Canis lupus familiaris: one gene and its partners. The protein of the gene in region 2 purifies or fractionates together with the protein of the main gene of each other region. This does not show direct contact. Links are inferred from orthologs where the notes say so. Each region holds a gene or a part of one and is shown on either strand. Other genes may lie near its edges.

The links.
Region 1: the proteins of WDR77 (region 2) and COPRS purify together in Homo sapiens (affinity purification with mass spectrometry; 3 studies listed by BioGRID and IntAct, with this or other methods). This does not show direct contact. The link is inferred for Canis lupus familiaris from reciprocal best matches to the Homo sapiens genes WDR77 and COPRS.
Region 3: the proteins of WDR77 (region 2) and SIRT7 purify together in Homo sapiens (affinity purification with mass spectrometry; 3 studies listed by BioGRID, with this or other methods). This does not show direct contact. The link is inferred for Canis lupus familiaris from reciprocal best matches to the Homo sapiens genes WDR77 and SIRT7.
Region 4: the proteins of WDR77 (region 2) and RIOK1 purify together in Homo sapiens (affinity purification with mass spectrometry; 5 studies listed by BioGRID and IntAct, with this or other methods). This does not show direct contact. The link is inferred for Canis lupus familiaris from reciprocal best matches to the Homo sapiens genes WDR77 and RIOK1.
Region 5: the proteins of WDR77 (region 2) and GAR1 purify together in Homo sapiens (affinity purification with mass spectrometry; 3 studies listed by BioGRID and IntAct, with this or other methods). This does not show direct contact. The link is inferred for Canis lupus familiaris from reciprocal best matches to the Homo sapiens genes WDR77 and GAR1.
Region 6: the proteins of WDR77 (region 2) and CTDP1 fractionate together in Homo sapiens (co-fractionation; 3 studies listed by BioGRID and IntAct, with this or other methods). This does not show direct contact. The link is inferred for Canis lupus familiaris from reciprocal best matches to the Homo sapiens genes WDR77 and CTDP1.
Region 7: the proteins of WDR77 (region 2) and SNRPB purify together in Homo sapiens (affinity purification with mass spectrometry; 4 studies listed by BioGRID and IntAct, with this or other methods). This does not show direct contact. The link is inferred for Canis lupus familiaris from reciprocal best matches to the Homo sapiens genes WDR77 and SNRPB.

What each region holds. Positions count from the first base shown.
Region 1 is NC_049230.1:41,069,588-41,073,635, forward strand, and holds the start of COPRS (coordinator of PRMT5 and differentiation stimulator), read left to right. Parts: upstream 1-1,248; 5' UTR 1,249-1,351; coding exon 1,352-1,426; intron 1,427-3,477; coding exon 3,478-3,544; intron 3,545-4,048. UniProt on the Homo sapiens protein: Histone-binding protein required for histone H4 methyltransferase activity of PRMT5.
Region 2 is NC_049227.1:41,099,300-41,102,349, reverse strand, and holds part of WDR77 (methylosome protein 50), read right to left. Parts: intron 867-3,050; coding exon 796-866; intron 670-795; coding exon 615-669; intron 128-614; coding exon 56-127; intron 1-55. UniProt on the Homo sapiens protein: Non-catalytic component of the methylosome complex, composed of PRMT5, WDR77 and CLNS1A, which modifies specific arginines to dimethylarginines in several spliceosomal Sm proteins and histones.
Region 3 is NC_049230.1:1,199,738-1,203,723, forward strand, and holds the start of SIRT7 (NAD-dependent protein deacetylase sirtuin-7), read left to right. Parts: upstream 1-1,186; 5' UTR 1,187-1,211; coding exon 1,212-1,304; intron 1,305-1,377; coding exon 1,378-1,515; intron 1,516-1,595; coding exon 1,596-1,700; intron 1,701-3,697; coding exon 3,698-3,768; intron 3,769-3,876; coding exon 3,877-3,949; intron 3,950-3,986. UniProt on the Homo sapiens protein: NAD-dependent protein-lysine deacylase that can act both as a deacetylase or deacylase (desuccinylase, depropionylase, deglutarylase and dedecanoylase), depending on the context. Specifically mediates deacetylation of histone H3 at 'Lys-18' (H3K18Ac).
Region 4 is NC_049256.1:8,659,621-8,663,120, forward strand, and holds part of RIOK1 (serine/threonine-protein kinase RIO1), read left to right. Parts: intron 1-60; coding exon 61-153; intron 154-1,036; coding exon 1,037-1,149; intron 1,150-1,250; coding exon 1,251-1,331; intron 1,332-2,665; coding exon 2,666-2,752; intron 2,753-3,148; coding exon 3,149-3,286; intron 3,287-3,500. UniProt on the Homo sapiens protein: Involved in the final steps of cytoplasmic maturation of the 40S ribosomal subunit. Involved in processing of 18S-E pre-rRNA to the mature 18S rRNA. Required for the recycling of NOB1 and PNO1 from the late 40S precursor.
Region 5 is NC_049253.1:9,901,444-9,905,539, reverse strand, and holds the start of GAR1 (H/ACA ribonucleoprotein complex subunit 1), read left to right. Parts: upstream 1-1,296; 5' UTR 1,297-1,496; intron 1,497-4,096. Other genes in the region: CFI (complement factor I), read right to left, coding at 314-370. UniProt on the Homo sapiens protein: Required for ribosome biogenesis and telomere maintenance. Part of the H/ACA small nucleolar ribonucleoprotein (H/ACA snoRNP) complex, which catalyzes pseudouridylation of rRNA.
Region 6 is NC_049222.1:901,734-905,233, reverse strand, and holds part of CTDP1 (RNA polymerase II subunit A C-terminal domain phosphatase), read left to right. Parts: intron 1-177; coding exon 178-261; intron 262-886; coding exon 887-980; intron 981-2,683; coding exon 2,684-2,812; intron 2,813-3,500. UniProt on the Homo sapiens protein: Processively dephosphorylates 'Ser-2' and 'Ser-5' of the heptad repeats YSPTSPS in the C-terminal domain of the largest RNA polymerase II subunit. This promotes the activity of RNA polymerase II.
Region 7 is NC_049245.1:19,125,571-19,129,798, forward strand, and holds the start of SNRPB (small nuclear ribonucleoprotein-associated proteins B and B'), read left to right. Parts: upstream 1-1,428; 5' UTR 1,429-1,583; coding exon 1,584-1,586; intron 1,587-4,010; coding exon 4,011-4,162; intron 4,163-4,228. UniProt on the Homo sapiens protein: Plays a role in pre-mRNA splicing as a core component of the spliceosomal U1, U2, U4 and U5 small nuclear ribonucleoproteins (snRNPs), the building blocks of the spliceosome.

The DNA of each region.
Region 1 (4,048 bases), on a different chromosome or scaffold from region 2:
TACAAGTGTAGCTCCCATCTGTCACCATATAAGTCCACTACAGTAGCATTGGTTATATTCCCTATACTGTACCTTTTACCCCATGACTTATTCCATGATTAGAAGATTGTGTCTCTCACTCCCCTTCACTGTACCTTTTACCTCATGACTTATTATTCCATGATTAGAAGATTGTGTCTCTCACTCCCCTTCACCTGTTTTGCCCATCCCTTCCACACTCCCATTATACTAATTTTTTAAAAATATCTTTTATGGTTTTTTATTTTTTGAAGGTTTTATGAGAGAGAGAATGGGCAGAGGGAGTGGGAGAAGCAGACTTCCTGCTGAGCAGGGACCCCAATGCCAGACTCAATCCCAGGACCCTGGGATCATGACCTGAACTGAAGGCAGATGTTTAACGAACTGAGCCACCTAGGTGCCCTCTTTTATGATTTATAAACACATTCTTCAAGGGAGATGAAGTAAGCTGTCTAATATCCCCAAAGATTGTCATAAGGTGGCCTAGTGAGCAGGAATCCCAGCTTCTAGCTTTTCTTCTACTTCATTGTTAAAATGATTATTACACCCTAAGTAGGTTTGTTATTAACAGTTTAGGCAGTATGGGAAAGGCAGGGAAAGCTGACTTTAGAGTTGAGTTTATCTCCAGCTCCTGCCCTGGCCGCCTGCTGTTCCCCTGGGGCTGCAGAGGGCCAGTTGTTGACAAGCATCAAAAAACAGGAGCCCAGGCCAGGCTACCGTGGCAGCTCAATGTTTAGGGTCAGTGTGACTCATATGGTGTCTGCACATTGTTTTCATCATCTGTCCTGGTTTCTGATGCATTAACTTTAAGAACTATCATTAACTTAGGATGGAGGATCACTGGGCACATCCATTTGTGGGTGGCCCAATTCTAGCCTGAGTTCTACAAGCACCTGTGACGAAAAGAGTGCAATGTGGTTGGAGCTCAATTTAACTTTTGAGAGCTGAGCTTCGGAGACTGTCAGGTAGGCTCCGGTAACTGAATATTCTAACAGGAATCCGAGGTTTGAGGGCTGAAGCACATCCAGCCTGGTGCGGCAGACAGAGATAACAGCTGGCGCTGCAGACCCAGCTAGTCGCCAGCCCTGGGATATGCACCGGCAGGACCGACAAAAATCCGATCCCGGGACCCGTAGGTGAGGGGCTTGGGCTGCCGCCGGCCCCGCCCCTCCCGCCCCGCCCCCGGCTTCCTCGTGACCCGTGCCCCGCCCCCCTCGGCCGGGAGCACCCCCGGCTGATTGGCCCCTCCGCGGCGTATGCTCCGGCTGGCAGCCAGGCGGGCGCGTCACGTGGCCGAGCAGCGTCCAGGGCGCCGAGCCGCGGGCCGCCAGGCATGGACCGTCAGGCCGCCGGAGCCCGGGCGCTGGGGGCCGCCGAGCCGCCTCGGGGGGCGCCCCCCAGCCCGGGGGTGAGCGCGGCCGCCACCTGCGGCCCGGGGCGGGAAGTTGCGGGGCTCGCGGGCCAGGCCGGGCGGGCCGTGCCGGGCGGGGCGGGGCGGGCGGGGGCCGCGGGGCCAGGGGAGCGCCGTTTGGGCGCGCGCTCGCGCTGGAAACTGCCGGGCCGCGGGCCCGAGAGCGTGGGTGGGCGAGCGCGGCGGGCTGGCGGTGCCGCGGCGCCTCTGCGCGCTTGCTGGATGGGAGGTGATGCTGACCGCCCGGGCCGGGGGCCCTGGGCGGGGCGGGGCGGGGCGGGGGGTGGGGGGGCTGGGCCGCGGCCAGGTGAGGGACCTGTGACCACGGGTGGCTACGCACAGCGCGCCCTGGGCACCGCATGAGGTCTCCTGCGCTCTCCTTTTCTGTTTACTGAAACCAAAGGCCCAGCTTGACGCAGGGTTTCCAAAAACTTGTTTTCATTTGCGCGCCAGACAGCTTCTGGTTTTTCAAAGACCGTTTTTACCGTCCTCACCTGTCTGTCCTTGTTTACGGTCAGTAAGTTCTGGATGGTGAGCTCCGCGAGGGGAGGAACCCTCTGTTGAGTGCTGTAAACCCGGCGCCTGGCGTAGTACCGAGAGACACAGCTCCTAAATCTGAGGGAGGAATGGAATGCTGGTTTAAGCATCAAAGAGGGTACTAAACCGGAGTAAGATATGAAAAATGTAGTGATAGGTATAAAATTACTTTGGAATGCAGATGGGATGAGACTTCAGGACGTACAGGAAGGGATGTACGCTTCTCTCCAAGGGGACAGGGTGGTGGTGCCTGCAGAGGCCTGGAGGTGAGGAGGTACAGGGCAGATGGCTGGGAGCTGGGGTCATAGAGCCTCAGAGCCAGGGGAGAGAACGATGCTCCACAGGTTGATAGGTGGTGATGGGGAAGTGTGAATGCCATGGCCAATGTTATGCTCCTCTGTGGAGGGCTGTTGAAAATTTTTGAGCAGAGTGATGATTAATCCTGTTAAGGTTGGGCAGGGTGGGTGAATGGGAGGACAAGTGGCTATGGCAGTGGTGCACGTGAGGGAGCCTATCAGCTGACCTGCAGTAGTCCGGAGGGTTGTCATTCAACCATTCCCAAGGTGGAATTTATTCATTAAATCTAAGGATGACTAGGTCATGAGCCAACTGAGGCCGGTGCCAAGTGCAGTTTAGGTGTGAGGGCAAAGAAAGGGGGTTTCAGTTCAACTAATGTTACATTCCTGTTATGTCCGTGGTGTTTTCAGAAGTGTTCTCTCCATTGTAAGCTCCTTGCAAGGTCAGAATAGTCCTCTCCAGTGTCCAGAGAAGGAAGCCCAGGCATGGTGGTTGAAGCAAGCTATCCAAGGTCACACTCTGAATGAATGGCAGAGCCTGAATTGAAACCAGGTCTTCTTAGGCAGGCTGTGAACATTTCTTGTTCCTTTTACAAAATGGTCTTTAAGTGATGAGAGCAGAGAAGCATATGGTTGGCTGTAGAAGAAGATTTCCCTTGAGCATTACTTAGGAAGTACAGCTACATGTTGCCCCTATGTATCAGGAGACAGAATTTGGTAGGAAGTTAGAGGGAATGAGGTTGAAATGATTAAAATTTACAGGCTCAGAGGAGAAGAGATTCACAGAGCTGGAATCCCAACTTCTCAGGAAGAGGTGCTGCCTGCAGCTACTGCTGGGGTCTCAGAGCTTGGAGGAGGGGTCCTGAGGGCCTAGGATGGAGACCCCTGAAGAGAGGGCCCAGTGATGAAGTTGGCTCTGCCAATGTTGGCAAACTAAACTGGATCGAGCAGCTGCTATAGGAAGGTACTGCTGATGCTGCCAGGGATGAAGTGTCGCTGGGGTGGTATCTGCAGGAATAGGAAGGAGAGAGGCCCTTCTACCTCCAGCCTTGATGCATCTAATACGGCAAAACAGAAATAGGGATTGCAGAGTCCCAGCCCCACCCTCAGAAAGGTGAGGATGGAAGAGTGGGGTTTGAGGCCATGAAACGGTAGCTTAATACTGGGGGTACCCCACACATCCAAGTCCTGGGTAACTGTTTCTTCTTCCTGCAGGCCAGCTTTGCCCCTGCTGACTGCTCTGGGCAGGAGAGAGAGACTGAGAAGACCATGGATCGGCTAGGCAAGTAGATGGTGGAGAAGGAGGTGAATGTGGGGAGAGACCAAGGAAGCGATGAGAGGGATCATCCCTATGTCTTGTTGACCTCTTTCCAGCCAGTTTTCTTTGCTGCTGAGTTGCCTTTTCTTCCTTCCTGCCTTCCTTCCTTCCTTCCTTCCTTCCTTCCTTCCTTCCTTCCTTCCTTATTTTGTTTATTCGTTGATGAGAGACACTCAGAGAGACGTAGGCAGAGAGAGAAGCAGGCTCCGTGCAGGGAGCCCGATGTGGGACTCAATCCCGGGACTCTGGGATCATGCTCTGAGCCAAAGGCAGGCGCTTAACCACTGAGCCACCCAGGCGTCCCTGAGTTGTGTTTTCTGCTTAGTGTTTCCACAGTGCCCTCATTTGGAAGTCCTGTTGGAGCTTTCTTTAGTGAAGTCCTGCCCCTGTGTCCAAATCCATCCCTTCTACTGAGAAAAGACAGCTTAGGGCAGTGGCAGGAGTATATAGGCTTTGAAGCCTGGCCAT
Region 2 (3,050 bases):
TGCTCTCATCCTCCCCCTTCCCAGAATCAAAACGCTGTGTGACAGGCCGCCTTACCAAAAACAAAGACTTCACTCTGCTGAGGATGCCAAGCCAGGGAGGTAGGAAGGTAGCCAGAGGCAGTGCAGCCTGCAAAGAGAGAAGAGGGATCTGAAACAAGACTTAGAGCCCAGCTCTGGGAAGGAGCTTCTCAAACAAAATTCACTCCAAATCCCAGAATCACCTTAATTTGCCTTCTCAAACCCTGCTAGCTAAGGCAGTTGTGTCCTTGCCCTCAATCTTCATACCTTCATTTATCCTTCAGCCTCTCCTGTCCTTTCTGGACACTAGTCACAGGCAGGTTTCAGGTATAAAACATGAAGGCAACAATTCTGGCCCCTTTATCTACCCATCCCAGAAACGTAAAGTATATCAGCCACCCACGAACCAACCCATCATCTTGGTACCCACTGCACACAATGGAATCAACAGCTTCAATGGGAAAGAGAGTGAGTGATTATGTCTCTTATGCCACAATGACTGAGCATTTGGTGACCTTGCCTTTGTCTCTGGCCCAGGAAGCCTCTTCCAGGTGGGTTCCTACTACCACCCTCCCACCACCGGCTCTCAGACTCACCCATCTGTGATGCTGGCTTGGGACAGCGGGTATCCCAGAGTAAAATTCTGTTGTCCTAGAAGAAGGAACAGGAAAAGAGCTTCACAATCCAAAAAGCAGCTGCGGGCCTCCACACTAGACTTGTGGCCAGAGGGTTCGAGTGTGGTTAGAAGTGAGGAGGGAAGGAAAGGCTGTATCTCACCTCACTGCATGAAAGGAACACGGAATCCTTGTGGGGAGAGGCTGCGACACAGGTGACCTGCCCAGAGTGAGCTGTGAAGGAGAGAGAGGCAAGCATGACAGAAAAGCTGCAGGCATCACTACCAAGCAGCCCAGATACCACCAAGGGACCCCTTATTTCATGAATGCAATCTAACACATTTTGTGAGAGATTTTGGATCAGACAAAACCTAAGAGAAAATGTTGATGGAGTTCTAAAGCTAAAAAGGCATGGGGAAGCCAATGAATTAGTAAAGACAAAGGAAGAAAGATCAGGGGCTGGGCAACAAGAGTGAAGGAATTTACATCCCAGAATAGCAATTTTCAGATTTTAGTACACACACCTCCAGACAACATAGAGAAACTTTCAAGGGAGGTCTGGACACTGACACATTTAGAGAAATAAACTTTCCCAAAGTTCTGTTTCCTAAAACTGAACTGAGAAGTTTCCAGTCTGCCAGTGCCCCTTTCCTTCCTCCTCTTTTACATTCCCCTCCTCCCAGTTTTAGAAGAGACACGCACTTCTCAGCCACCCCACATCTCACCACGGTACAATGCCCAGGTGCCTGAAACCCTAAGGTATTAAACAAAAGGGGCTTTTCCCTGAGAGCCAAAGAGCATCTCGGCAAAATTCAGTGCAGGAGCTGGCCCTGTCTCAGCTACCACAAACCACAACACACCACGAGCAACTAGAGTATTCTGGGACTCTATTTCTGCCTAACAATGAAAATTTTGAGAACTATGACAGATAATGTCCCGAGGACACATCTGACAAATTTAACTGAACTTAAAAATGAAGTCAGACCTTTTCTGATAGAAAGTTGAGTCTAGGGGCTCCTGGGTGGCTCAGTGGTTGAGCGTCGGCCTTTGGCTCAGGGTGTGATCCTGGGGACCCAGGATTGAGTCTGTCGGGCTCCCTGCATGGAGCCTGCTTCTCCCTCTGCCTATGTCTCTGCCTCTCTGTGTCTCTCATGAATAAAGAAATAAAATCTTAAAAAAAAAATCACTGTAAAAATCAAAACCAAACTGACGTGTTACTCAAAGCTATGGTTGCACACCGGCACCATCAGTATCATTTGGGAGCTTCTTAGGAAATAGTCTCAGGACCACCCCAGAGTTGCACTCGGGTAATCCTTTGGTACATTAAAGTTTGAGATGCGGGAATTCCTGGATGGCTCAGCGGTTTGGTGCCTGCCTTCGGCCCAGGACGTGATCCCAGAGTCCCGGGATCGAGTCCCACATCAGGCTCCCTGCATGGAACCTGCTTCTCCCTCTCCCTGTATCTCTGCTTCTCTGCCTCTCTCTCGTGAATAAACAAAATCTTAAAAAAAGGAAAAGAAAAAAAGAAGGTTGAGTCTAATTTGGCCAGCTGGCCTAACAAAGCAGGTTGGTTTTTAGCCAGTTAGGTTATTTGATAGACATTTGGCAGAGGTTACAGGGACTTAAACTGCAAATCCAAAATCTTGACCAACACGTGCTTGAAACCAGTGCACAATAAATGATATGGCCAGAAAGTACCTCCTTTGCAACTATTTAAATTTAAATTAGATGCCAATTTAAAAATGTGTGAGAGGATAGTTTTTCAAAAAATTTTCAGGAGGGCTACATGCTAAAAACTTTAAAGATCACTGCCCTACGATGCATACAGGCTGTGGAAACCACCTACTCTGAAGGCATTTACCAGGCTACTGGAGATAGTCTGAATATGGCTCTGCCCAAGACAGGAGGATGTAATCCAACCACCTTTCATAGTTCTTCCCTAGCCCTTGAATCCATAAAAAGCCAACACAATGAAAAAAAATTGACCACTCACTTGAAAGCAAAGTTCAGAGACAAGCACCATGGGAAAATACAAAAGATAAAAAGTGGTTCCTCTGCCCTCAAGGGATGTGCAATTCAGTGGGGGGAGTAAGACAGAAATACAAAGAACTGATGAAATACTATGAATGGAAAAAGTGCTGAAGGAGTTAGTGCAGACCAGGAAAATCCCTCATAGACCTAAAAAACAAAAGGCATCAGTGTTTTAACATTGACTATTTATAAATCTTGGACTCCCACTAGAGTCTAAGATTTATAAATAGTGAAGGTCCAGGATATGTAGGAGTTTCTAGTTTTTTGCTTTGGCACATATATGAATCATACACTTTGCAATTAGAATTGGCAGGGAATGGCACTTAGCTATTGAGTGAACCAGGTAACTACCTGGCATCTATATCTCTTAACCACACACATATTAAT
Region 3 (3,986 bases), on a different chromosome or scaffold from region 2:
AGGGAGACCTCCCCATGGCCCTGGCTTGCTGCTCTGGGTGGCACTGCTGTTTGTCCAGGTGAGGAGATGTGGCTGCTCAGCCGTGTGGTGCTCTGGTTTCTGCCGGATGCCAGGTCTCCCCTGGAGGCTTTTCTGCTCTTGCTCCAGGTCTTTGTGCACACCGCTGATGGTCAACAGCAGCCTCTGTGGTCAGCGCGTGAGCCCACAGCTCTGATTGGCTGCGGCCTGCTTTGGGACAGGTGGTCAAGCCCCCTCCTGTCCCTGTCGCCTCCCCTCTCTGAGGTGGCCAGTTGGCTCAAGCTCCCATCCACCACTGGGCAGCCCAAGCCACAGCCTGCAGCACCGCTTCCGCTCTGGGATCTTGTAAGTTGCTTTTTTAGGCTGTGGTTTGGTGAAAGGAACCAACACGGTAACGATCCCCCCCCCCCCCCAGAAGCCACTGAATAATTCGTTTTGGCGCGTTTTTGCCTTCCTGTTGGCCGTCTAGTTTTGGAGCAGGCGGGGAGACGTGGAGGGCACACGAGGCAGGGCTGTGGCCTGTCCTCCTGCAGGCCTGTGTGTTTTGAGCATGTGCTGTCCCCGTGGGCCAGTCACCGGGTCTCCACCCCGCGCTGGGGCAGCAGCCTTGGTGCGTGGTGCCTGGGCAGCCCGAGCAGGAGGGGAGCGTGCCGGGGAGCTTCGAGGGGCCGGCCCTCCCTCCCCCGCACCCCGCACCCCGCACCCTGCTGCTCCCTGAAGCCTTTAACCAAACGGGAGTGGGTGGCGCCGCCGTTTAGCCCGGTGCCCGGCCCCGGGGCCGCCCTGGCGCTGAGGGGCTGGGTGCAGGGAGTCGCCGAGGGCTGGAAGCAGGGGCGGGGGTCCGGGGGCTGCCGGGGCTCCCGGGCCGTTGAAGATCCAGGCGAGGAGGGGCCTCCCTGGGCCGCGGCGCAGCGCCCCGCCTGCCCTGTGCAGTATTTATTGCTAAATTATTGTCCAGGGGGGGGCGGCACTGGGCCGGACCCCGGGTATTTATTGCTGTACATAGTGTATGTTTGTGATATATAAGGTTTTCTTTATTTTGTATATGACCAATAAACACCTTTTAAAGAGACCGTCAGGTGCCTCCTTTGCGCGCGGCGTGGGCGGGGCCGGAAGGGCGGGGCGCCTGGCGCGCATGCGCGGTGCGCGGCCTGCCGGGAGGCGGAAGCGGAAGCGCGGGCCTCCCGGGAGCGATGGCAGCCGGGGGTCCCAGCCGCTCGGAGCGCAAGGCGGCGGAGCGGGTCCGGAGGCTGCGGGAGGAGCAGCAGCGGGAGCGCCTCCGCCAGGTACGCCGCCGCCGCCCGCCCCGCGCCGCGCCCCCGGCCCGCGCCGCCCTCACCGCCCGCCCCGCGCCCGCAGGTGTCGCGCATCCTGAGGAAGGCGGTGGCCGAGCGCAGCGCCGAGGAGGGCCGGCTCCTGGCGGAGAGCGAGGACCTGGTGACCGAGCTGCAGGGCCGGAGCAGGCGGCGCGAGGGCCTGAAGCGGCGGCAGGAGGAGGCGAGTCCGCGGCGCGCCCGGGGCCGGCGGGGCGGGGCGGGGCGGGGCGGGGCTTACGACCGGCCTCGGCGTCTCGGCAGGTGTGCGACGACCCGGAGGAGCTGCGCAGGAAGGTCCGCGAGCTGGCCGGCGCCGTGCGCAACGCCAAGTACCTGGTGGTCTACACCGGCGCGGGGATCAGCACGGTGAGGCGGCCCTTTCCAGGGTCCGGCCGCCCGCGCGGGGCGGGGCGCCCCCTGCCGGGTGACGGGCCCCAGGACCCGGCAGAGCCCTCTGCGCGCCGGCCCTGACCGCAGGAAACGCACCTTCGCGCAGAGCAGCTCTGCTGTGCTGTCTCCAAGCCGTTGCTTGGTCCATTTTTAAAAGCAATTTCTACACCCAGTGTGGGGCTGGGACGCAGGACTCAGATCTAGAGCTTCACGCTCTTCCGACTGACGCCGCCAGGCACCCCACTGTTTTCTCTCGTCATTTTTTAAAGTCTTACTTATCTATTTGAGAGAACGTGCACAGGGCAGAGGGAGAGAGACTCTCGGACAGACTGCCCCCCCCCCCCCCCAGCGCAGGGCCCCACCACCCGGAGATCAGGACCTTGGGTGGCCACCAAGCGCCCCCTACCCATGTGGTTTCCCAGAGAGGCTTGAAATGATTCCACTTCAAACTTCACTGGGGAGATAAGCATTTATCAACGTATGCAGTTTTTGCGATGCCCGTTTAGACACAAGAAAGGAAGGAGGCGTAAGAGGGACTGAAACCTCAGTGCCTGCGGGCAGCTCCTCACTTAAAGTCAAGGTGGTTCATCACTAGCCCAAGGTTAGGTGGGCAGAGTTAAGCCCAGAACTTGCTCCAGGTTCCCCATTCACCGGATTTTCTACGTGTTGAAAGTCACTAGGAAGCAAGGCAGGACGAACGAGAGTACACCAGGGGAAGGAGAGAAATGCGTGGGGTTTGGGCAGGTTTTATTGGGAAGCTGTCTCGGGCCACAGAACATGGGTAGCTTTGAGAGTGTCATTGTCTACTTAGCGGGTGCATGTTGAGTGTGATGCAGTGTAGGCCCAGCACAGGGGAGCCTGAGGATTTCCAGCCTCAAGATGCCCGCAGGCGATGAGAATATGGCGTGTAAGCAGACAGCTAAGGCAAAGCTGGTTGTGCTAGGTTGCTAGAGTGGAAACGCAGACAGCCACCTCCCCATCCCACCCCCTCATGGCTTCAGCAGCGAAATCCATCTGGTTGGCTTTCTGTGCGATACAGCATTGAAGCCAGGCCTTGAAGGTTGAGTAAGGTTTTACGGGCAAGGGTGAGAGTAAGAGCCTCCAAAACAAGAATGTGTAAGGAGCACTGAGCACCCTGACTTGCAGACCCTGGAGCCCTGGTAGTGGGGTCTCCTGCCTCCAGTGACGTGTGCGTTCCTGTCATTTGTGGGGGTGCTGCACAGGGTTACGGACAGCCGTGTGCTGCTCTGTAGTTGAGCATTACTGATTGAGGTTTCTCTTCAGTGTCATTCAGAACCACGCTCTTCAGGATGGGCATTTTTCCAAGCTTCAGCTGCAGGAGGGAGACAGGGCTCCCCAGAAGGCAGGTCACTCACAGCCTGGGGAACACAGGAGTCCTTGATCCTGGCCTACTGTCTTCTCTCATGATGGTTTTGTTTTGCTGGATCGAGAACTAGAGAAGTTCAGTGGTGCTTATCTTGTGTGGAGAGATTGGCTATCTTTGTGAAGGGAAGACAGCAAACACTACCAGGATACAAGAATTAGGACAGTTGAGTGCTCTGACCTGAGGTTTCACTATTTGCTAAACCTTCCCGGAGCACTGGCCGGGCCCTGGGGACCCACAGATGAGCCTGGCCAGTCCTCTGCCTCGGTTTAGAGGACGGGTGTGGCTACATAGCCTGGGCTATTCCCAGTGCTGGAGAGGTTCCCAGAGTCGGCAGGATCCTTGAGACCTGGAGGGATGAGCTAGACCAGGTGGGAGCAGAGGTGTGGGCAGAGGGAAGGAGCCCCTCTGTCTGGGTGCAGGCAGGTTATGGTAGGAAGTGCTGAGCCTCCAGAATGGATAGAGCCTAGTGCGAGGACAAGCCTGGAACACCACGTGAAGAGGAACGTTTGCTTTTCACTCTTGCAAATTGTGCCAGTTCCTACAGTGATGCATTGTCACCGGGTTTATGTTCTTTGTGGACGTGCAGGCAGCCTCCATCCCAGATTACCGGGGCCCCAATGGAGTGTGGACGCTGCTCCAGAAAGGGAGGAGCATCAGGTAAGCGGCCTAGCGCAGCCCTCACACAGCCTTCGCACACGGTCCAGCCAAGGCAGCGTGGGCCTGACCTCACAGCTTCCCACCCCTGTGCTCCCTTCTACCCGGCAGTGCCGCTGACCTGAGTGAGGCTGAGCCGACCCTCACCCACATGAGCATCGCCCGCTTACATGAGCAAAAGCTGGTAAGAACCCGAGGTGGCTAGCTGGGTCCCCAGTACA
Region 4 (3,500 bases), on a different chromosome or scaffold from region 2:
AGAAGAAAAGAAATATTTGGTACTGTCTTACTAAACTTTCTGGTTTTTTGCTTTTTATAGGTGTTGGATCCTAGAACACGAATGATATTATTCAAGATGTTAACTAGAGGAATCATATCAGAAATAAATGGCTGCATTAGCACAGGAAAAGAAGTGAGCTTTTCTTTGGATGCCTGAATGTTTTCATGTTAGTTTTCTTACTTCAGCTACTAAATGAAACTAAGGCACTTAATAAATACATGGTGCCTTTAAAAGAAAAAGGAAAAAAATACACAAGTCAGAATAGTTTAGTATTTCTAAAAACAGCTTTATTAATATTTATGCGTAGGCAGGAGGTTGTACACAGAACTATACGTTTTCACCACTGTTACTATCCTGGTTCACTGAGTGCAGGTAATGCTCACAGTAAGCATAGATGGTCAGATTACTGCAGGCTTGAGTGCTTATCACATAGTTACTAATGGGCACAGGGGATTAATCTAGGTTCTCTGAGTAAATGAATCTCTTTACCATTTTTTCTTTGTATGTGGATACAGATGGCGTTATTTTTATTTTTTTAATAATAAATTTATTTTTTATTGGTGTTCAATTTGCCAACACATGGAATAACACCCAGTGCTCATCCCGTCAAGTGCCCCCCTCAGTGCCTGTCACCCAGTCACCCCCCCCCATGGCATTTTTAAATTAGCAACTCTTTCTATGGGAAGCAGTTCTCAGTAAAACTCAGTTTATAAATGATGAAATAAGAATGTCTTGAAATATTTTTCACACACTTGAGAGAGGAAACTGTTCGAAACCATTTCTTGTCTGTAAAGTGGATCTTACTATATGTGTAAATTAGAGCTCTACTTACTATACCTTTTGGTATGACGTTTTGTAATTGGCATATTCGGATGATGATGGTATTGCTTAATGCATGTCGCTTCAGTTCACTTGAATTTTTTAAACTTTTGAGGATAGAATCAAATAGAGTGAAAATTAAAATACTGTTTGTAGTTATTTAACACAAAGTTCATTTCTTTTTGACACAAAATAGGCTAATGTGTACCATGCTAGCACAGCAAATGGAGAGAGCAGAGCAATCAAAATTTACAAAACTTCTATTTTGGTGTTCAAAGATCGGGATAAGTATGTAAGTGGGGAATTCAGGTGAGCTCAGATTCTTTTTCCAGTTGGCCTAATTTCTGTTTCCTAAAATAAAAACTGGAATAATGGAATGTTTGGAATAACAAATATTTTTCTTGTTCCAGATTTCGTCATGGCTATTGTAAAGGAAACCCCAGGAAAATGGTGAAAACTTGGGCAGAAAAAGAAATGAGGAACTTAATCAGGTAACTCTCTGGGGCATGTGTCTGTGCTGTGCTCAAGATACTGGCCCTTGCTCCTTCCTGCTGGCTCCCAGTAGATTCTGTCCAAAGGTGGAGACTTGTAGTGATGTTCATGTCTGTTAGATCTGCTGAGGTAAGCAGAAGCAACAAATAAAAACCTGATCTTCTCTCTTTTGAGAACCCATTACAGAAAAATTCACATTCACATCCAGCAAGGCTGGATCATTTGAAGCACCTTGGAAGGTGTGTGAAAGCATTTAAAATTTATACTGAGGATGATAGGAGGCTATTGCAAGATTTTAAACAGGGAAATGACAATCAGGTTTTGAGGCTCACGTGTCATTTTTTATAGGCATTAGAGTTTTAGATAGTTTTGTTAGGTCCTATACTATTATCATAGTTTCCTTTTCTTCAGTCCAATTTTGGACATATTTATATATTCTTTGTGCTGACACTTCGATATTAGGTGAGGGCAACTAACCTAGTTGAGATCAAGTTTTCTCAAAAATTTGAAGGTATTCTTTTCCTCCCTTTTTCAAATACCTTTTAATTTTTTATATGCTGTGCATTGGTGACATATGTTGGATATTTTAGTATTAAGTACTTGTTTTGAAAGTCTTCTGAAATCTTCCTATGTTCACTTAGCTATCAGGTATGAATCCAACTGGTTTTTATTTTGTAAGTAAACTCTACACCCTGTGTGGGACTCGAACTCACAACCCCAAGGTCAAGAGTCATGTGCTCTACCAACTGAGCCAGTCAGGAGTCCTGAGACCCAACTGTTTGATTACTCATTGTTGAGTCTAATCAACTCAGAGGACATATCTGCTGCATTTCATCAGTTCTGAGATGCACATTGCAAGTTGGACATCTCTGGAATTGGGCTGAGCACTAGAGGCAATAATTTTTTTTTAAGGTTTCATTTATTCAGAGAGAGAGCGCACACAAGCTCCCTGCTAAGCAGGGAGACCAACTTGGGGCTGGATCCCACAAGTCCTGACATCATGACCTGAGCTGAAGGCAGATGCTTAACTGACTGAGCCACCCAAGTGCCCCACATGAGAGGCTGTGAGATGTAGTTAAATTGCCAGTGTTGTGTCATTCTTGGTTGTGCATCATGGTACCACTTAAAATCACTGGGCCTTAGAGTTGATGAAATACAGTAATGCAGTTGAGATATGTTGGGCCTTAAAGTTGATGAAATACAGTAATACAGTTGAGATGTGTTGGTGCTGTTACCTTACAGTGATACTGATCTTGTGTTCTGTAGCCATTTAATTTGCTGGAGATTCTGTGTCACCTTTTCATTTGTCCTTTTATCTGATTGAATACTACAGACTAAACACAGCACAGATCCCATGCCCAGAGCCTATCCTGCTGAGAAGTCATGTTCTTGTCATGGGCTTCATTGGTAAAGACGACATGTGAGTACATGGAATGCCTAATAATTACATGCTCAGAAGTGTGTCTTTAAGTGCTTTGGATTATCCAGTGTTATGACCATTTCCCATTTAAATAGCTCCTTTCAGCTTGGAAGGTTTTTTGTGAATCTTTTCCACTATCATGCACAGAGCTGCTCATTTATTCTACTTTAGGTCCCAAAATGTTTCAAAATAACAAAGTTCACCCTAGTTTTGAGGGATGTTTTATACAGTAAGCTGGGAGAACACCTGTTTCTTGACAATTTTTTGCATTGGTACATCTGTAGTGACCCAGATTTTTTAGTGATGATTTGTCAAAAAGTCCATGTAGCAATGTATTATAAACCAAGAAAACTTGTTCTGGGCATTTTCTCTTAGTTTATTTTATTTGTATTGAAGGCCAGCGCCACTGTTGAAAAACGTCCAGTTATCAGAATCCAAGGCTCGGGAGTTGTATCTGCAGGTCATCCAGTACATGAGAAGAATGTATCAGGATGCCAGACTTGTCCATGCAGATCTCAGTGAATTTAACATGCTGTGAGTGTGTTTGGTCCCCGAGGAACTTCCGGTATGGCGTTTCGTGTCCTTTAAAAAAATGAAATCTCAACCCAAGAAGTCATTTTTAAATTCTAAAGTTTTAAAGTTGGCTTCCACATGGTCATAGGATAGCTATGTGTTCTCTACCTGTAGTGGCCTTCGTCACAGAATTGACCAGCTGATCATTAATAGAGTGATAGTACTTGGGAAATTG
Region 5 (4,096 bases), on a different chromosome or scaffold from region 2:
ATTAACATATAGTGTATTATTAGTTTCAGAGGTAGAGGTCAGTGATTCATCAGTTGCATATAACACCCAGTGCTTTTTATGACACATGCCCTCCTTAATGCCCATTACCCAGTTACCCCATCCTCCCATCCATCTCCCCTCCTGCAACCTTCAGTTTGTTTCCTATGATTAAGGGTCTCTTATGGCTTGTCTCCCTGTCTGATTTCATATTATTTTATTTTACCCTCCCTTCACCCATGTCTTAAGATTTTTCTTACATTCTTATAATATTAAAAACATCTACTTAAAATAGGCTAAATATTGAGTTACTTACCTTGCAAAAACTTAGGCAGAAGCACAAATGTAACAAAATAACATGAACAAGCTTCATATTGGAAACTTTCAGGGTCTGTCTCTCTTCTCCACCCTGGATATTCTTTTGAAATTTAATTTTTAACCTTTGAAAAAATATTTAGAAAGAGCAAGTCTCCTAAAGAGCTTTGCACTTTTGAACTCAGAGAATTTGGCTAAAATCCAGAGTTTTACCGTAACTGAAACCAAAAAAGGCCTTCCCAGTAAATAGCTGAGTGAGGTGACCAATAGGGAGCATGTTTCCTCCAGAGGAAAACAATTTCCACAGTTTGTTAATAGCCCTTCAATTTTGCTTTTTTAGAGAAGACAGAAACTACATGGAACGAAAATTGCTTGTGTTTTTGGCAAAATAAAATTAGAGTGTTTTCCCTTAAGTTTGAGGATGAGGAGGTAAGTAAAAGTATATCATGTTGAAGGCTATGAAGAATACAGTAAATATCCTGAACAAAACATTTCCTTTACCATGCTCCATTATGCTGTGATCAAATTATATTGTCTGAGCATAGAAAACTTTTTTAAAAAACGATTTATTTATTTGAGAGAGAGGGAGACAAAGTATGAGCAGCGGGGAGGAGACGAGAGAGAAGGAGAAGCAGATGAGCAGGGCGCCCAATGTGGGGCTTGATTCCAGTACCCTGAGACCATAGGTTCCCCAAGGTGAGGGCAGATGCTTAACTGACTGGGCTACCCAGGTACCCCAGCATAGAAAACTTTAAAAAATAAGTTTTATTGCCCCAGCACCGAGTGTAGTGCAGGATTCATTTTTATTTGTGAAATAAATGTTAGGGTTTTCCTGAAGCAGACATGAGACAGAGTTGGGGCTACAAGTTAGAAATTAACTCCAGTGAAAGGAAGTGAGGTTAAGCAGGAGTGAGCAGAGAGAAAAGTGAGACTGCAATGCAGGTTCAACAAAGCCCTGGTTAACTCATGGGGAGCTCTGGAGTGAGTGTGGCCTGTCACAGTGTCTCTGGGTCAGGCAGGAGTGGTTAGACTGTTAAATCCTGCCTTGCTCAGTCACCTGGTGTGTATTGTCCAGGAAAGGCATCCCCTTAGGTGAGGCCATTCTCTGCAGCTGAGGCAGACTCGGAAGGATCTGACATTTAGTTGTCATCAGAAGAAATGTCTCCTCATCACACTTTTCACAGGTAGGTAGCAAACCCTTCCATGAAGTGGAATTTGGGAAACTCATCTTCCCATTTTTAGAGTGCACCATTTGCACCTCTTAGGTCTACCTTTCATATATGCTCCAAGAGTGGCTCCTTCAAAACTACGGTAGGCTTTTCTTCCTGAGGGAAAATTTAGAAGAGGGAGGTGGTAAGAAAAAATGATGGCCCTGGCCCTTGTAGTTGCTCTTGAGGCTGCAGGTGATGCTCATCCATCCTCTGCCTTTTTTCTATCCATTCTAGATTCCTTTTACCCTGAGCTTCCACATCTGCCAGCCTCAGTTGCTTACCTAATGTCATGACTCACAAACTTCCTGGAGCCTTCCTTCTTTGTGAAGGCAGTTCAAGATAAATAATTTGTCTTTTAGTTTAGAGAAGATATCCTGGCAGTTTTCTAAGCACTGGCTTCCTAAAAATTTTATTGATGTGCCAAGCCTTGTCTCCTGGAGTATATGTATCTTTTTAAGGCATTTAGCAGGCTAGCCACCTCTTGCTTACCTGCTCTCATCAAGGTAAAACCATCAATGTAATGGAACAGTGTGATGCTTTACAGGAAATCCAGATGATCCAAATCTCTTCAGACTTTATTATGACAGAAGATGGGAGATAAGATCTATGGAAAAACTGTAATGTATATTGTTGCTTATCCCATGTGAACAAGAACTGTTTCTGATCTTCTTTCCTGTTTAAAATACTTACAATTGTTTAGGTTTCACTGACAAAATTCTTATTGATACACTTTATAATATTGCTAAAACTAGCATCAAGGTTCTTATCTCTAAAAGAAATTCAACTGAAACAATTTTAAAGCAAAGGGGTGATTAGAATGAATAGAAAACAACAGCAAAAATATCCAAACTATAAATTTTTTACAACAATAAAAGCATACAACTCAGGATAGCATTAAAAGAATAAAATGAATCAAGTGATAAAAAGGAAATAATAAAGACATAAGCAATAGTAAAGAAACCAGAAAGTAAAAAAGTAGCAAATTTGATATATAAACCAATGAATGATTTTGAGAAATTAAAAAAGAGAGAGGGTTAAATATTTTAGAGGAAAGCTGTTGAAGTGGCAATTTTTAGGGGGGCTGCCAACATCCATTTTCCTTCATAATAGGTTCCCAATTCTCTTTGTGGAATTATTGCTCTTCTATTATGGGTTGTTTGGGTGGGAGAATAATTCCCAGCACCTGCTTTTCAAAACAAGTTAAGAAATCCATATCCAGCCTCTTTCCATTCCCTTTTAGAGCAGAGACTAATCAGAGTCTTTTTTCTTCATGTCTGAATCTTGAATTAAGTGATAAGAGAACAGAAGTACCAATTGGGAATTATATATTGAAACAGCAGCAGCAGCAGTGCACCAGTCAGACAATTTAGCTGTTAGTTATAAGACAAGTTTCCTGTGATTCCTTTTCACCTTCCTGACCATCCTCAGTTCTTAAGCCTAACTTCTTAGCCTTCTGTCAATAGTCTGAACATCCTATTATCTGCCAAATGAATTTTCTTTTGCTAAAGTTATTCAGAGTTGGTTTGGTAGCTTGTCACTTAGAACCCTAAGTAATAAAAGTATGTGCAATTTATCAAATAATCTGAAGATCCAGATGAAAATTTCAAGGAAAATAAAATGATCAGAATAATTTATGCAAGGAGAGGTAGAAAATTCAAATAAATTAATAGCTAAGAAAAAATAGAAAGTTAAAGATTTTAACCCCTAACGACACTTTTACTAACTCTTTCTTTTTAAAAAGATTTTAAGTAATATCTACACCCAACGTGGGGTTTGAATTTACAACCCCAAGATCAAGAGTCACATACTCTACTGACTAAGCCAGACAAGAGCCCCTATTTTTTTTTTAAAGATTTTATTTTACTAATCCTTTTAAGAAAGATCATTCTTCTGTTATTTAAACTTTTCTAGAACACAGAAAAAGATGAAAAGCACTCCAATTTATTTTTTTTAAGATTTGTTTATTTATTTATTCATGAGAGACACAGAGCGAGGGGTGGGGGGCGTGCAGAGACACAGGCATAGGGAGAAGCAGGCTCCCTACAGGGAGCCCAACATGGGACTGGATCCCGGGCCCCCAGGGTCACACCCTGGGCTGAAGGTCGCGCTAAACCGCTGAGCCACCTGGGCTGCCCCAAGCACTCCAATTTATTAGCAATACTCAAAAAATGGTAAGATGGGCCTTTGAAATAAATCTTTAATAATTATAATTAATCATTCATTTCTATGTAATGACCCTAAATAAAATATTAGCAAAGTATACATTACAAATCACAGCATATTAAAAACAATATAATGACCAAGTGGGGAGCATTTTAGAAATTTACAAGGATGTTCAACATTAGGATATCTATTTATACAATTCAGTATATTAAATTTTTTAATTAATTAAAATAGATTAAATAAGATAATATGTATAATTACATCATAAAATATGGAAAAGGTGTTTAATATGAGTTTAACATAAATTCTTAATTTTTAAAAAGTGAGCAATCTGGAAAAAGAACAAATATCATTAATATCATAAAGGATAGAAACCAACAGTAAATACCATGTACAATGGTGAAACACTA
Region 6 (3,500 bases), on a different chromosome or scaffold from region 2:
CTTCACAGCCAGGGGCAGGGCCCTGCTGGGCAGTGCCACCTGCCAGGAGGGAGCTAGAAGTCACTGGGAGAACCAATGTGGGACCTGGAGGTCTATATGCCCCCTGGGGTTATGTGGAATCCAGGGGTTGTACTTCTCTCCTTCCCTAATATGGGACCATTTTCATCTCTATTCTAGGGCGGTTCTGGTACGGTTGGAAGGATGTAGCCACCCGGTTGTCATGAAAGGCCTGTGTGCTGAGTGCGGCCAGGACCTAACCCAGTAAGTACTGGCCCCTCGGGCTGGAGGGCGGGGCCTCTGGGCATTTGAGATGGGGTGACCTACGGGTTCCAGGAGCCTCCACCTCTGATGGCACCCTCCTTATCTGGCGACTTAGGTCCATCTCCCAGGGAGGTGTTCTTTCTGGTTTTGTTTCCCTAAGTTCCGAAGGCACTGGAGAGGTCTGATACTCACCCCCGTGTGGTCGGTTTGCTCTCCTTTCAGCCAGGCAAACGGCACATCTGTGATCAGCCCACGCCTCACTGCTCCCGGGTCCCCTTCAGGTCCCCCCACCTCGTTCCTGGGCTCCTTTTCCACCTGTGGCAGGCGGTCACCCTCGGTAGACTTGCTGAGCAGCATGGACTGTCCTGTTTTGGGGGCTTTCATGTTTTGGGGCCTCTGTTTCAGTGCGGCCATCACAGTTCATTTCCAGGAGATGTCTGTGAGAACTTTCCCATCTGTTCTCAGACGTCAGCCGTTTCAGCAGCTGTGGGCAGAATGAAACTGCACTGTGCTGGCCGTGAACTTCCCCTGCGTGTCAATTAAAATCGTGCCCTCGACGTCCTGTGTGCGTTCTGGGTATAGTTCTTCAGTGTGTTCATCTCCGTGTGCCTTCTCCTGCCCGCAGGCTGCAGAGTAAGAACGGGCAGCAGCAGGTCCCTCTGTCCACAGCCACTGTGTCCATGGTGCACAGCGTCCCGGAGCTGATGGTGAGCTCTGAGGTAAGTCCTGCCTCTGGCAGAAGCTAAGTGTCAGAACATTTCCTGGGAATAGCAAGGAGCATCCGTGGGCCTCTCACTACACAGAGGCTGACTGAGGAAGGTACCAGGTCTGTCGCTGTGATGGTTTCTGGGATAGCCACTGCTGAGACAGGTGGTCTGTGTGCACTGGGTGGCCCACCTGCAGTTTCTATCTTTGCCAAAGGGTTCTGCCCACTAGGGAGGTGCCGGCCCCAAGGGGTGTTGTGGCCGTGTGGTCTCCCTGGCGCAGAACGGGAGGCTGATGGACGGGAAGGCATTGTGCATGCTGCCGTGTGAAGAAGAGTGTTAGGGTGGGGGGCAGGCAGTAGCAGGTGGTGAGAAGTACTTGCAGCAGGCAGTGCTGGCGGAGTGGACGTGGTGTAGAAGGAAAAGACATGCGCTGTGCGCATCCTCATGGAAAGGCTTGGCAGGGCAGTGCTTCTCTGGGGTGGGGCAGATGTATGTACTTGGAACCCTGTTTACTTCTCCCCCGTGTCCAGGGTCTCGTGGGCAGTGCTGGTCAGAGGCATCCTGACACCTTGTATTCAGGGGCCGGGTGAGGGAGGGGTGTGAGGACGGAGCTTCTCCTGTGATGGGGAGGCAGGGCAAGCACCTGTTATTGTAAGTGGGTGAGACAGTTTCAGCGTTAGTTTTACCAGATTTGTGCTCTTGAATGATACATACCGGCTCTATTTTTTGTGGGAAAGACATGTCAGATACAGGATTCTGGCTTTCCTGAATTTTAAGCCAAATGTAAGTATTTAAGAGTGTATGGGGGATCCCTGGGTGGCTGATCGGTTTAACGCCTGCCTTTGGCCCAGGGTGCAATCCTGGAGTCCCGGGATCGAGTCCCGCATCGGGCTTCCTGCATGGAGCCTGCTTCTCCTTCCTCCTGTGTCTCTGCCTCTCTCTCTCTTTCTCTATGTCTATCATAAATCTTTTTAAAAATTTTTAAAAATTAAAAAACCGTGTGAGTGAGTGAGACAGACAGAACTGAGAAGTCAGATAAAAAGAGAAGAAAGTGTCCCCCATTGTTGCTGCCATGACAGATTATCGCTGGCCTGTGTGCACAGCCCTCCCAGGGCTGGACGTTGCAGTCCTATGGCTGGCTGATCAGGACCAGGGGTTTGTCTATAAAAATAGGAACTGAGCCAAGGAGGCATAAGCAATGCGCAGCCCAAGGCCCCTTCCCGGAGGAGGCTCTGTGCTGGCCCCGCGCTGGCCCCAGACGCCACTGCGTGCCCGCCATCTCCAGGAACCCCCTGGGTCTGTCCCACGGGGGGTGGTGCCTCCAAGCATGGCGAGAGGTGTGCCACACCCCTGCCACCTGCCTGTTGCTCCTCAGTTGGCTGCCCTCCTCCCTCCATTTTACAGCTCGTGGCATCCCATCAAACCTTTATGGACACAGCTTTCTTTTCATCTCCTTTTTCATGAGTTAACATGTTACGTTATAGAATTAGATCACAAATCATGTCTTCAGTAGTTGGGACCAAACAGAAGCAGCTTGGGTGGCCATGGAGCAGGCCGTGTGGCTCCCTGTGCTGTGTGAGCGCGGTGGGGCTGCTGGCGTGGTGCGGAGGGCAGTGGCCAACACCTCAACTGCGTTTGTTTGACGAACAAAATTGGATTTGGTTTTGGGTCCAGATATACTCACGTCAGAATCTTCCTTTTTATTTTAACTTCAGCAAGCTGAGCAGCTGGGAAGGGAAGACCAGCAGCGTCTACATCGAAACAGAAAGCTGGTGCTCATGGTGGACTTGGACCAGACGCTGATCCACACGACCGAGCAGCACTGCCAGCAGATGTCGAACAAAGTGAGCGCTTCCTGGGCTGGGCTGGTGAGGAGGGGCCGGAGCCCAAGGCCCATGTGTCTGGGGTGGTTTCCCCAAGCTGGGTCTCACTGGGAGGCATCAAAGCATGCTCTCGCCTCCTGGCTCCCTTTAGGGTTCAGGACCTGGAAGCCTTGAGGCCCAGCGGCAGGCAGTGGTGTTGGCAGCCAAGGAGACACAGTCTGGGTGGGGACAAGGAGCTGGCATTAGGAACCTCTAGGAATCTCTGAAGCATTGAGGGTAGGGGTACAGGTGGGTCCTGGATCTGGACTCAAGAGAGGGCAAATGAAGGCTGGGGTTCTCCAGGGAAATGAAGTTTTCAGAGAAAAGTAAAGGGTCGAGAATGGACCCTTATCTCAGTTAAAACTGTTGCCACGTCCCACCTCTTTGTATGACATGGACCCTGAGAAGCCAGATTTCTTCAGGCACCTTCAGGAGGCATGTAATAGTGCCCATTGACACATGGCTCTCTGAAGGCTGGACTGGCCGATCCTGTCATGGACTAATGAGGCCTTGCCAACACGGGAGCCCTCGGTTTGTAGAATTCTTAGCTGTTGGGCCATCGATGCGTAGACTGTGTCAGAGGTCAGGTTGTCAGCATCTGCGGTTAGCGGTTCTTAACTATGGCAGAGCCTGTAGGAAGGCCTCTGAGGAGAGTGCCAAGGCCAGGCCC
Region 7 (4,228 bases), on a different chromosome or scaffold from region 2:
TCAGTGGTCTGTTCATGTCCTCTGGATCCAGGGACCCTTTAACCACACTCCCACTGCAGTCTTCCAGATTCCAGGGTCAGGTCCTTTAACTGTCCCCCAACTGTTCTCTAGCCCCCAAATTACTGCTTTAGGCTTCTTAGCTATTACCTGTGTCAATTCATAGGTCTAAAGACCCCTAAACACAGCCCTGATACCATGCCCCCTCAGCCCTTCATCCCTGGAGTCCAACCTTGCTAGTGACACCCCCCATCATCCCTCGAAGACAACCTAGCTGTACACCTGCCCTAGTTTGTCAGCAATGGGATTCCTAGCATAATCTTTTCCCCAGTGGAAATGGAATATAATACCATGCTATGCTGTTTTTATTTTCTCCCAATATGCATGATATATCTGTTTGCTGCAGCCCTTCAGGTGCAGACACTATGCAGTATATGCTTTGTGTCAATGTCACCCTGGCTCCCCATGCACATCCAAGTCCCTCGGTGACCCTGCTCCCATCTTTGGCTTGCCTGATGACTGTAGACCAGCTCTGGCCCATGCAAATCTTAAAAAAATAAAAAAAGAAGATTTTATTTATTCATGAGAGAGAGAGAGAGAGAGAGAGAGAGGAAGGGGCAGAGACATAGGCAGAGGGAAAAGCAGGTTCCCTGCGGGGATCGTGATGCGGGACTCGATCCCAGGATCCCAGGATCATGACCTAAGCCAAAGGCAGATGCTCAACCAGTCAGCCACCCAGGCGTCCCTCACCATGTTATATTTAGTATATTAGACCTCCAGGTCAAGCAGGTGGCTGGAGATTTTGGCCACGAGTTAAATAAAGCACCCAGGGTTAGAGGAATAAATCTGAAATTCCTGAGCATTTAGGTAGTATTCACAAGTCATAGGACTGGATGGGATTGGTTGATTGACTCATTTGTTCATGGAAATATGTTTAGAGCTAGGCATTGCGGTAACGAAAAATACACAAAGGAAAATCTATACCCTCAGAACTTGCATCCTAATGGGGAGGAATAACAACAGAAACACGGTATATTAGGGATCACCATTAAGGAGGAAGATAAAGCAGGTAAGGGCGGGAAGGCTGCAGTTTAAATAAGGATGGCCAGGGAAGTCCTCAGTGGGAAAATGTTACTTGAGCTGAAGTCCTGAAGGATGTTCGGGCAGGAGTCGTGCAGGTACCTGGACGACTAGCATTGCAAAGGTGCTAAGGCAGGAGCTCGTCCAGCAAGTTCACAGAAAAGGACAGGCCAGGGAAGAGCGGTGGGACCTGGAGACCCAGAGGTAATGGGGAGGGGCGTGCGGGCAGCTCCGGAACCGATTGAAGCTAGGGAGGTGACCTAACATCCCGGGAAATGTTGTTTGACGTTAGCCCCGCCCCAAACTCCCGCGGGCGTCTAGGCTCCCAGGTCGGCGTTTTGGCCGGAACTCAAGAGCCGACGCCGGGCCGGAAGTAGTTTTTACCCGACCCCATTTTATCCGCGGCCGCACTTCCGGTAGCGGCGGCGGGAAGCGGTGTAGTAGCGGGCGTCTAGGCCTCTGCTGAGGGCAATCCGGCGGGAATCGGAGCCATCAGAACCGCCACCATGGTGAGGACGGGCAGGCCGGCTGCGCGGGAACTTCCGAGTCTGTCGTGGAGTGGGCACCGCGGCCGGTCGGGAGGAGGTCGTGGGTTGGGGGCTCATGGCGGCGAAGGCCCGGGCCGCAGCCGCCGCGTCTGGGCGGGGGAGACTCGGACCGTGGCCTTTGGACGGGTTGGGGGAAGGGAGGGCTGGGGCCGAGGGACGGAGGCCGGGGCCGCTAGGTGGTGGCGAGGATGGGCCCGCGGCTGTCCACGCCGCTGTAGCCACGGTGCTTGGGATCCTGCAGGCACGAAGTAAACTTTTGCGCAATAAATGCGCGTTTGGGGTTTCGGAGCAGACATAAGAGCCTCAGGAGGACTCGTGAAACGGGGTGAGGGTCTGAGGGGGACTTGCGGAAAGCGGGGAGGACTTCTGGCCGAAACTAGAGAGCGTGCTTGGGTCTAGCAGATGGGAGGAGGGAATGGGAGGGAAACCGAAGATGGAGGAAGGGTTCAACTCCTTTGTGGGGCAGGTCTGTGTGAGCGTGTCTGGCTTCTCAGGCACTGGGGCTACTCCACTCCTTTCGCTTTCTAGTTGCGGACGCAGGTAATATGATCCAGAGTGGTAATTAAGCGCTGCGTAAAAGTAACGGGGCGGGGGGGGGGGCGGGATAAGAACGTTTTCCTGGAGTAGATGGTTCCTGAGCAGAGTCCTAACAGGTTGTTACAGGAGTCTCCCCAGCCTCGATGGAAGGGAGTATTGTAGATTGGGAGGGCTCCAAGAGCAGGGCGTGAAGGGCCGCACTGTTGAGGGTTCCTGGAGGGGTCGAGGGGGAAGGGATGGAAGAAGAGATGGGAGGAATTGGCAGGAACCTGGCTACTAAAGGCTTTCCATGCTGCCTGATCCCGTTGGTGATGAGGGATGCCGTGGAAGGATGTAGCCAGCGAAATGACGTGGACGCAGTTGTGTTTAGAAAGAGCGCTCTGTTCTGTGGCTGTTGCGTGTTGGGTGAACCGAAAGCCGGGGATTGTTTGTAGGATTGGTTTGGAAGAGTAGGCACTGGATTCAGTCTGTCTAGGTTCCAGACCAGCTTCCTGGCTGTGAGACGGGGCAAGCTACTTAACCTCTCCTGACCTCAGTGGCTGCATCTGTAAAATAGGAATAATAATTAGCCTGGTTTTTAGAATTAAATGAGATATTTAGAGACTGCTGGGTGGCTCAGTAGTTAAACATCTGCCTTGGGCCCAAGGTGTGATCCTGGAGACCCGGGATTTAGTCCCACATCAGGCTCCTTGCATGGAGCCTGCTTCTCCCTCTGCCTGTGTCTCTGCCTTTCTGTGTCTCTCATGAATAAATAAATAAAATGTTTAAAAAAATAAAAGATATTTAGTGCTTGTCACAGTGCCTGGTACGCAGTGAACGACCAGGAAGACTTACCTATTATAAGGTGGACAGACCAGTAAATGTTGCCATAAGGCTTCAGATCTGTGTGGCTAGAATCTAGAGGGCAGATTTAAATGGGGACACTGGACTCAAGTTAACCAGCTTGTAGCTGGTTAACAGTCATTTGAGGGAGAGTGAGCCACATAACTTGTGTCTCTAGGCAAGGCTCTGATCCACACATTGGTGGGTTGAAAAACCTGTTCTTGTCCAAGCTTACAGAGATGAACAGCAAGCACAGTAACTGGCAAGAAGACGACACTTGGAAGGCTGATACACAAATCAAATGCCAGGTTATTTCTAGAGAGGTATAACTGCCAAAGGCACCTGGCAATTTGCGTTGTGAGTTCTATTTAGTCTGTCTTTTACCAAAGCTACCTTGGAAGCCAGGCTACAAACCAGAAAAGGTTGTTGGATTGATAAAGAAGTTTAAAGACCATTATGTGTTCAAACTGATGAGCACCCTGGCCACCAGAAAGTTTCCCTCCCAAAGACAGTTTTGGAGGCACATTAACATTTTTCGTTTAGGGATTCCATTTGCCTTGCCTCCAAGCTCATCAGCTCCTTTCTGATAATAGATTCTTGCTGATTGGATCCTTAGTGCCAATCATTCCAGCTGTTTTACTCGGTCCTTTAACTGGGCTGTGGGTGTTCCACAGCACTGGAGTCACACACCTGTAACCTGCATAGTGGCAGATGGCTAATCTGGTATGGGGGGATTGGATTAGTTTGGAGATACCTTACTCCTCACCCCTGAAACTGACACAGCAGACACACAGGCAATTGTGATATGAAAAAGACTGATTTTAAGGGAGAGTAAGAGAGTTGTGGGCAGAGGTCTGGGCTGAACACTGGGTGTGGGAGAATTCCCCGGGAAAGGAAGACAGAGCTGAGAAGTTGTTGAGAGAGATAGCCATGTGGAAAAGTAGGCCAGAGCTGGTTTTTAGGAAGGACCAGGGATATATAGGTTCAAAAGAGCTTGACTCTGATCCTGCTGATTTCTCCTTGCAGACTGTGGGCAAGAGCAGCAAGATGCTGCAGCACATCGACTATAGGATGAGGTGCATCCTACAAGACGGCCGGATCTTCATTGGCACCTTCAAGGCTTTTGACAAGCATATGAATTTGATTCTCTGTGACTGTGATGAGTTCAGGAAAATCAAGTGAGAAGTGGGCTGCATGGGGGTGGGATTTAAATTGTGAGGGAAATGGACTGGGTGGGTGGGCCA